Drosophila melanogaster: one gene and its partner. The protein of the gene in region 1 binds, or shares a complex with, the protein of each later gene. Each region holds a gene or a part of one and is shown on either strand. Other genes may lie near its edges.

Region 1 (4,658 bases):
GTTCGGGGGCAATAATAGAAGGGTGCCTGCTGCCAGACGCAGATATCAATATGTTCGAAAGTCCGCCCTTATGATTGGGGAACCTTGATTAACTTTCCAGCTGACTCGGCCATGAGCCTGAACATGCAAACGATTTCGGGTTTTGGAAAAATAAAAGTCTACTTTCTGGCGGCCGCAAACTGACAGGAACCATTTTAAACTGACATTTCATTAAAATTCCTTGTCCCCTCCCTTCGAGTTCGTATTGATTTTTTCATAATTTAGCGGAATTGAAAGCAAAGTTGCCGGCATGTGTGCTATGTGTCCTTTGTCATACACACATACACACACACACCCATACACTCACACATTTAAATCCGCATTGCATGCCCAGAAAAGTAGACTACAAAAGACAACAGGCAAACGACAGCACTGCAAATGGTTACAGGGAGGGGGTGGCGGTTGGCCTGGAACGGCGGTAGGCACTAAAAATGTCTAGCAAATGGGCCTGGCAATATTATTAATAATTTAGAGCATGCGGGCCACGTCAGGAGTCGGACTCGGAGTCAGGGACAGGTGATGGCTTCAGGCTTCAGGCCCACGGCCTGACCACAATCCGAAGCCATATCGAGGCGATTGTGTCGAAAGTACCTTCCCGCTTCTGGTGGGCAGCTCTTGGATGTTTGGTGCCATTGGATATTGATGGCGATGTAGATCACTGATGTTTATTAATTATCACGAGTTAAAAGTTTTGCTTTTCTAAATTGGCACAACAGCCTACACTGACAAAATATCTTCATTCATTCAAGCATATATAATATATATTGTGTTTCACATTCTTCTGTAATTATATAAAATTGAAAATATTTTGTAATAAATAATGGAAAGTATTTAAACAAAGCGAAAATTCAATCGAGCAATGTGATGAATGCCTAAATTGACCACAAGCAATTTTCCAAGCAAATGTGTAATTTATTTCAATTTGGATGTTTCTAAATCCTTTTCCTGTACTTATTTTGTTACCAGCTTTAAGTACAACTTATGAAAAAGCAAAAAAAGAAAATATTTATGACAAATAATAAGAGGTGCTCATGGCACCTTTGTAGTGTTCAAGCCATATATTATTTTTATGGTTTCGGACATGCACGGTCCCTTTTTCTCCAACGCTTCAATGTGTATAATCAGCTGCTGAATTATGGCAAATTTTCAGTAACCCCCCCGACAGTTTGCTTGAAGCACCTTTTGCATTTTTCCCTTTAAAACAATAATGCTGACATGTAGAAGCTTCAACTGAAATGTCATTCGCTACTACTACCAGACTTCTCGAGCTATACTTTAAATTCAATTTCCAGCGCAAACATTAATTAACACGTGATAAATATCCCGCTCTATCGCGATGCCACTTCGACATTTTTCAGAATTATTCGCCGTCTAGCTTTTTAAATTTTTTTTAATCCGGCCCAGAAAAGGGCAGCCCAGTTAACCGGACCTTGCATAAAATTTGCATAACTCATAGTGTTCAGGCTGGCAGCGCCTTCTAGAAATCAGAGTTTCGCTCGGTTTTTCACAATTTTCTCCTCCGCTCGCTTTCCAGCACGGAAGTTGATTATTATCGCTTGTTATTAACAACAGCAACAACAATGGCAGGAAAAATCCAACTCCTCACATGCCGGCCATTATGTCAAGCCGACTGAACGACGAGGCCTTGCCAACCATTTCGTTATCGCTCCGGGGGCAATTGGAATTCTTCTTATGCAATTGATACCGGAGCAGGCGGGGGAATTCGGATTAAGGGGATTACGATTTCGCAGCAGAACAACAGGGTTTTCAATCTTGAGTCAACATGTTTTAATTTCCATAATATACATATATGTATACCACTCGGCCCCACCTGGAGCGTCAGTAGACAGTGCACATTCGGCTGTGGGCGCCAACTGAAATCACAATCGAGCAGATAACAACTGATCAGAAATTATATGTAAAATGCAAATGATAGAGAAACGCCATAAATCGAAAACAGGCACCATCATGCCACCCCGGGGGAAAACCACCGAATGTGGGTTGTACAGTGTACACTGTACACATATTATTTCCGGTTCGTCCCAAAAGCGCTGCAACATATTTGCAACAAATGGCTAGCCAGCTAGACAGCAAATTGGCATGAAGCGTCGAGGGTTTGTCCTGCGCTTTATGGATATCAATGAACTTTAAATTACACTCGGGCAGCCGTGAAACATAAAATATGCAATTGTTGCCCATGTGGCCTAAACAGTGCACTCCTGCCATACGGGGACACTCGTAATAAACAGCGTCGAGTGGCGCGCCAGACACATTCACATTTGTAGGCAAATTTCACGATACACACACACACACACACAGACACGCATGCAGCTGGAATGGCAAATCATGTGACGAGCATTGACCGCCGAGGGTGGCCCGATTGTTGTTGCTTCATAAATAACTCGGGCTTTGTTTTTACTTTAAATATAATTACAGCAAACACGCAGCTGACGGCAAATGTCGCCAAAATCGCGGCTAAATTGCCAACAAGCGGCTAAAAACGCGCGCGACTCAACACGCGAGCGAATTCTACTTGTTGTCGATTTGACCTGGCCGAAATCGCTGCCAAACTATTTTCGAATGCCTTCACTGGCCGCAATCACAGCCAGCGATTAGAAAAAGGATTCCTTGCTTTCTTTCAATAGTCTTGCATGCAGATTTTAATGGAAGTTCGCATTTAACTTAATAGCTGCAGCATAACAACCTTTTTCAGAGCATTTTCTTGGCAATCTTGTATTTTTCGTGAAACTCCAAATTGCACATGTCCTGCGGCTGAGCTGTCCTGATTTTTTTTTTTTTAAATCCTGTCGAGAAATTCGCTCAGCACAAGTCACTCATGGCGTCTACAGCATCACTTCGATTCACTTGCAGCACGAATGCAACACTTGGCGGCAAAAAACACACGCGATTCCGTTAGGGATTCTGCTTGCTTGTATGCAGCAGGATTCGAAGGACTAAAGGCCAACCGCACGAACCGAGCGCCGTCGATGTACTGAAGCCAGCATTTCCGAGGGCCACCAAAGTCGCGTGGAACGACTCCCAGCGACTGCCGAGCGATGCCGAAGATGCTCCTTTGGCGAATCGTCGTCGTTTTGGGGGGTTTTGGGGGGAGTGTGGGCGCCCCAGTGGGTGGGTGGTGTTTTTTAGTGGGCGCCCGGGGGGTGGGCAGCGGCCTCGCGAACGAATCAGACAACTGTGATTTTTGTTGTTGCTGGGCCACATTTTATTTTGCTTTTTGTTGGCGGGCGCTTTTCACTTCGTGGTGCTTCTTTTTTCCTAACATGCTCTGCGCGTGTGTGTGTGCGTGTGCTGCCCAATGGGGGGCGCGCTCTCGGCTCGGTTGAATACGAATTGAATGGCATTGAAAGCCTGGGAAATTCTCTCGCCATACTTTTGGGCGCGTGAAACTGGTGGCTCGCATTTATGAATGAAATCTGTGGCAAAGGAAAGGGTTAACCCTTTTTGGGTTGGGTGAAGGGATGGTGATGGTGAGAGGGGGTGCTGATAGTAAGTAACTGTGTGAGATGAAGAAATGAATTGTCATTGGTCGTGGCGCTTGAATATGAGAGAGGGAATTATCACTTGCAATTCTGACAACTGCAATAAGTACAACAGATTATTGCCATAGGAAAATACTATATATTTTGACTTGTAGGTAGAAGAAAATGGAATGGAAGCCATCTGCAAGATGATCTTTCGCTGTCTTCTATTTTGGATCTCTTTTACGGGATTCATTTAATATAAATCAATCATTATCAGAAAATTATGCTTTAAATTTAAGTATGTATTGATAAAAAACAATGTTTCAATGGTTCGCAAGAAATAGTTTCCATAAATTTAAAGACGTAACTAAGGCCAATCTTACATCTAACTGAAATCTGTTTGAAATTCTCAAACAAAAATTTTCTAACGATATAATTTGTAGTATATATGCAGAAACAAAGTTCTTTCCAACTAAGAATTGAAATAAAATTTTTAAAATTAAATTAGTGCTTTACTAGGCCGTCTTATTTATATAAAACGATATAACAAAGTCGTTCAGCATGAAATATTATTTAATAAAATTCGCCTGCATCGTTCCGAGTCAGTTTTGATTGTTATTAAATATATTAGTGCCCCCAATACTTTGAAATATGCAACTAAAAATTGACTGCGATCGATTCAAAAATGCTTCAAAGTCCGTTCGCTATGATACATTATTTAATTAAATTTCTTCTGCTTGGTGAAACTTTTCTTTGGAGATTTCCATTATGTGTGGCAAGTGCAACAAGCGAGGCAGGAAAGTCACCCACCCACACACGCACACCAGCCAGTCGCTTTTCAATAACCGTGCCACATTGTGTCAGGCACCGTTTTGACCTGGCCACCGCCCTCTGCAACTCTAAATTGCTCATATATACTTATATATATATATATATATTTCGGGAGCTAATCAACTCCCGCCCCCTTTCCCTATCGCGTCTTTATAACAGGCATATAATTTCGCACAACACACGCACACGACCAATAAATAATAGCGATGGAAACAGTAGAAACCCACCAATAACAGATTTTATGACGTATAAAAAGGATTTATAAAGCGTCCCTGGAAGGAACTATCTATCCCGCTCCATTTCTCC
Region 2 (4,887 bases), on another chromosome or scaffold:
ATACAAAGAGCCAAACCGCAAGGGCAGAATTTATTTATTAATAAACCAACAAACCAAATAACACGAGCTCGCGAAAGGACACGATCGAAAGTTTTATGAATTCATTATGGAAATATGCGCATGCATTTGTCGAGTTTTTCCCTGTCAATTAATTTGAGAAAAAGAATCAAACAGCCGGCCGAAAATTTGCCTCAAAAAATTCCAATATGCATATATATATAATAAAAATAAAAATAATCTGCATAATAATATGCAAATTTAACTATAAAATATTGGTACTTAAAAAGTGAATATGGCTAATTGTCAAAGTTGTCCATGCTAAAGTAGTGAAAAATTACATTTTAGATTTTGACTTGTTAGCCTTTTGCAATCAACTTAAACCATCTTTATGCCCAAAAACTTTGTATTAAATAATTTTAATTCCAATATATCATTACAAGTAATAATCATCACCTTTGTGAGAGAACAAATAAAACCCAGACCAAAGAAAATCCTTGGAAAATCGGTTGCCCAGTAATTCGATAGGAATCTTTTTTGATTGCTTGCCTTTTTGCAGGTTCTGCAATTGCCAAGATGAGTTATTTCGTCTGTTTGTCTGCGCTTAACCAACTTCAAGTAGCTTTTAGCCAAATGAAATGGCCAGACAGATGCCAATGGGCTAACAAGATAGGCGGGTAGAAGGCAAAGAAGCAGCCAAGTCAAAGGAAAGCAGGACGAAGGAAACAATTTGCGCAAAAGCGAATTGCATTCGGAAAGTATTTCATTTGAAAATTACAAAGCCCAGACGAACAACTGCCAAGTCAAATGATGGAAAATTGTATAAAAATGCAATTTACTGTTTTCAGAGATGACAAACGACGAGCTGAAAACGGAAAGTAGAAAATTGCTAGCCGCTGAAAGCTAAAAAGTGCAAACTTAAAAGCAGCAAACAGGCGGCTAAACCCCAAAACTGAAAAACCAAAAAGCCAAGCCAAGCCCAATGGCAATAGTTTCGTGTGTCAACTGCAACGTGCCACATGCAACGCAGCTGCTGCTGCTGCTGCGCAAGCGGCAACAACATCAAGTGCAACTGCAGCCAGAAGCATTTTGGCCATGACCAAGCTTCAACAGCATTTTCCAAGTGTCTGCCGCTCGTTAGTATGTGTTATTTTTCATATTTACTTTTTATTTTCCCACATTTCTATCTCTGTGGCGCGGCGCATCACAAGCGCGTGCTTCTCATTTGATGCATTGAAAGTGAGACTTGTGCCCCACTGTTGCAAACTATTATATAAAACCGTTTGCCCAGCCCACACGTTGCATGTGGCATTCGCACTCGCACTATGCGGCCATTCGCCATTCATCCTCCTGCCCTTCAGTTGGTCACTGGACCAACCTTGTGGGCTGCGAAACTAGGACTGCAAAACTCTGGACAGGAGTGGGTCACGAATGCACGGAAAATCAAATAGCCGGAGTACTTAGTTGCATATATGCTTTTCTGTAAATAATAGTTTTAAATGCAGATGATAGTAGACTAGCCTTTAAAACATTTTCTAACTACTTTTGTATGTGATTGTATCTATAAAACTAAATATTGTACAATAACAATGTGAGTATTTCAAGTTCTTACTTCAAACAAAGTTTAAGTAGAATATTCTAAAAGTGTTGTTAAATTCAATCCAAAATCCAATATTAAAACATTTTGTAATATTATATAATTTAACAGAAATATACTTTAGCTGACTTTGTTAACTCATCTTAACCCAAAAAAAAACATGAAGAGTTCGTATAAATACATATATAATATATGCATTAAAAACAAAAATATTCTAAAACCAAGATGCGGGGGGAGCACTCGTTTTTCCCTCTGTATAATGTTTCATTTTGTTGGTTCTCCACTTTTTGGGAGTCACACACAGATGGGCATTAAATGCTTCACCTTTTGACTTGCGCCAGGGACAAAAGGGAAAACTTTTGCCGACTCTGTAGCGGAATTAAAATTCTTAGCACAAAAATTAAAGAATTTTCAATTCGCATTCGCCCGCTTTCCAGGCCAGCGAAAATCGCTCGTTTTCCGGAAATTAGACGGGAAATCCTAGGCGACAAAGGAAAGTCTTTGGGTTACAACGGGCATGGTGGGCGTGATGGGCGTGGTGGGCATGGTGAGCATGGGGGCAATTAGGTGGGCCAAAGCGCGGCGCAAACAAATTAAATTTAATTAGAAATTAAATGAAAATAAATTGGATTATTTAATTAAAAAGCCCGACGCACAACTCACCTCTGAGCAAAACCATCGACAGCAGCAGCAGCCAGCCGATGAGCCAGTTGAGTAATCCGATATTGGCTCTGGATGGCAGGGACATTGTGCTGCTGTATCTGTATCTGTATCTGTGTATCTGCGGTTGTTATCCGCAAGTTTATTGTTATTACGCTTGTAGTTGGCACGCGATCCGGATCCGGCGAAACGGATTCCGGTGTGGTGGGGGTGCACCCGGGTGGTGGAACGTCACTGGTCAACTAACGATTCCGTCAAATTAGAGCCCGGCAAAACTCTCGGTTAAGCTCTGCCTGGGGAGCAATGAAAGTACTTTCTCCGCTTGGCCCTGTTTTTGGTTCGTTTTCACTGAGAGTTGACCTTTTTTTCTGGTTTTGTTTTTTTTTTCTTTTTTGTTAATCTGCTGCGAAATGAGCTTTACACAAGAACTTTTTTTTTTGTGGGCGTGCGAAAGGTTTTAACGGTCTACGAACACTTCAAACAGATCGTAAGCCCAAAAGCCGCTAAGCAGTAGGCTACACTTTGTGGGCGCCTCTAATTTATGGCACTGTGTTTCACTGTACTCAGTCGCTCGGTTCAGCTCATTACGGCGCCCCATGCATGTGGCTATTGCATTTTAATCGCCCCGTCATTAATTCGCCATTAACACGAAGGCCCGGGCACTCATTAGGCCCACTTTTTCGAAACCCTCAACACTGAGGAATATATCTGAACAGGATTTAACTGGGACTACAACCCGCGCACATAAATCAAGAAACGCGTGCTTCGCCTTCGAGTCACAGGATGGAACTGACTGGTAATCGGCGCTCGGGCACATGGCGAACGCCTCGACTTCGGCTAACTTCGGCACTCGGGCAAGTTCGCATATATATTGTTCACATGTAAGAGCAAAGAGAACTAAAACTGCAGAGCCGCTCTCTTCAGTCGGCTTATTGGAGCACGAAATTACCAAGCAACTTTGTTTATATCGAATATAATGTCTCAGGTAATAAAGCACTATTGCAACTGTAATAAAATGCTTATGAATAATTATATTACAGCCTTTACTAATTATTTAATTATTATTAAGACTCATAAAACCTTTTTTTTAACATATTAGTATTGTATTCCACTTTCTAGGGACTTAGTTTTACCATTCTGCTTTTAAAATGTAGGGAAATCATAAAAGGAAATAAATTGTTCTACTTCTTAATAAATGAAACTTGCTTCTTGTTTTTAATATAATATTTAATTATGCCCACTACCATTTAAGCTGCTAAACAATAAGAAAACCGCGCAAAAATATCCTGCCATAGGTCAGTTAGGGATACTCTTATACTGCCGCTCTTATACTCCGCAGGCCTAAAGAGAAAATGTCCAGTGTATGAAAACTGTTACAGTTCCACGTTCTCTGCAGTTCAATTGAGCGGCAAACAAAAAATGCATTTTTAATTAATGCTCCTAATTAGCACTTTTTAGTGTTTTTTTTTTTTTCTTTTTCTTATTTTTTGTTTATTTGCTGCGAATTTCCCTGAAGCGTTCTTAGTACTGGGACTCATCGCAGCCACCCAAAAGCACAAAGGAAAAGCACACACGAGAATTTCAATCAATTGCGAAACTTTTAATTACAAGTCAATTTAATTTTGTGCAAACAAACAGATCAAATGCACTCGATAACACCCCCCAAACCCCTCGCCTTGCTATTGGTCAAGCCGAAGCGTTTAAATCAATTAAATTAATTAGCGACTGTGAAATATATACATATATTTGTGCAGATTGGCCAGAACTTTTTCCGCCTGATTATTTTTAATTGATTGGCCCAGCTTTTGGCTTTCCCAGCTTACGACTTATGGCCCACTGCCCAAACATTGCCAGTATTATGCAATCAACTTGCGGACTTATAAATACCACCCAACCAATCAAGGTCGCCGCAATTAGCGGCCCCAAAAAGCGATTACTACCATTCGATAACCGAAGGAGGCGTTCAGTCGGGGGGGCGTGGCGATGGAGGCACGTGTCAATCGCAAGCCGCTTATAGATAAAGTAAAAGGCGAAAAAGCAAAGTCAGTAAACTTTTTAATTGAAACAATTTGTAAAATGTTGCCCAAATACCATCCCATTGTTCATCATAGACAGAAATAAAGAAATGGCCAACTTTCAGGACTCGCTTTTAATCCTCCATTTCGCGGAGCCTTGAGCGTTCCATTTTTACTAATTCCTGGCCTCCTGTGTGATTTCTTAATTGAATTACCCTCGTCTGATTTAACCGAACGGTAGCGGCGAAAACAGTTATTGATTTTCTATATTGACAAAAACAAGTTACTCCCCACAAAAAAAAAAAAAACAACAAATCTGGCTCGGTTTATGTTCTATCTTTGCTTCAGCGAAATCATTATTCCAATCAGAGACGCACGCCCGCCTCACAATTGGATTTGGATTCGAATTCGGATATGGATCCGGGTTCGGAATGGGGAAGTCTGAGTTACCAGCTAAGAAGGGTGGGCAAACAAATCAAAAATCTATTAAGACGTGCGATGCGGCACATTCAGGCTCAACAAATGTCCTTGCGGTCACGTGTCACCGCGAAGTTGCAATTGTGCACACAAAAAAAATTAGTGGTCCATTGGCTAAAAATAAATCTTACAGATTTATTA

The links. The genes of interacting proteins can lie anywhere in the genome.
Region 2: the proteins of DIP-eta (region 1) and dpr1 are in contact, whole or in part, in a crystal structure (PDB 6NRW), measured with the Drosophila melanogaster proteins. Residues at the interface, in NP_001188701.2 of Drosophila melanogaster: Tyr72, Lys73, Val74, Ala75, Leu77, Arg78, Val79, Thr81, Gln82, Thr83, Ile84, Ile87, Ile92, Thr93, Lys94, Asn95, Met124, Gln126, Ile127, Asn128, Thr129, Asp130, Met132; in NP_001286645.1 of Drosophila melanogaster: Asp82, Lys83, Ser86, Ile88, Lys90, Asp92, Leu93, His94, Ile95, Ala98, Tyr103, Thr104, Ser105, Asp106, Glu136, Gln138, Asn140, Glu142, Lys144.

What each region holds. Positions count from the first base shown.
Region 1 is NT_033779.5:5,614,912-5,619,569, forward strand, and holds the start of DIP-eta (Dpr-interacting protein eta), read right to left. Parts: upstream 3,036-4,658; 5' UTR 2,744-3,035; intron 751-2,743; exon of another isoform or gene 319-750; intron 1-318.
Region 2 is NT_033778.4:20,696,641-20,701,527, reverse strand, and holds the start of dpr1 (defective proboscis extension response 1), read right to left. Parts: upstream 3,046-4,887; 5' UTR 2,343-3,045; coding exon 2,258-2,342; intron 1-2,257.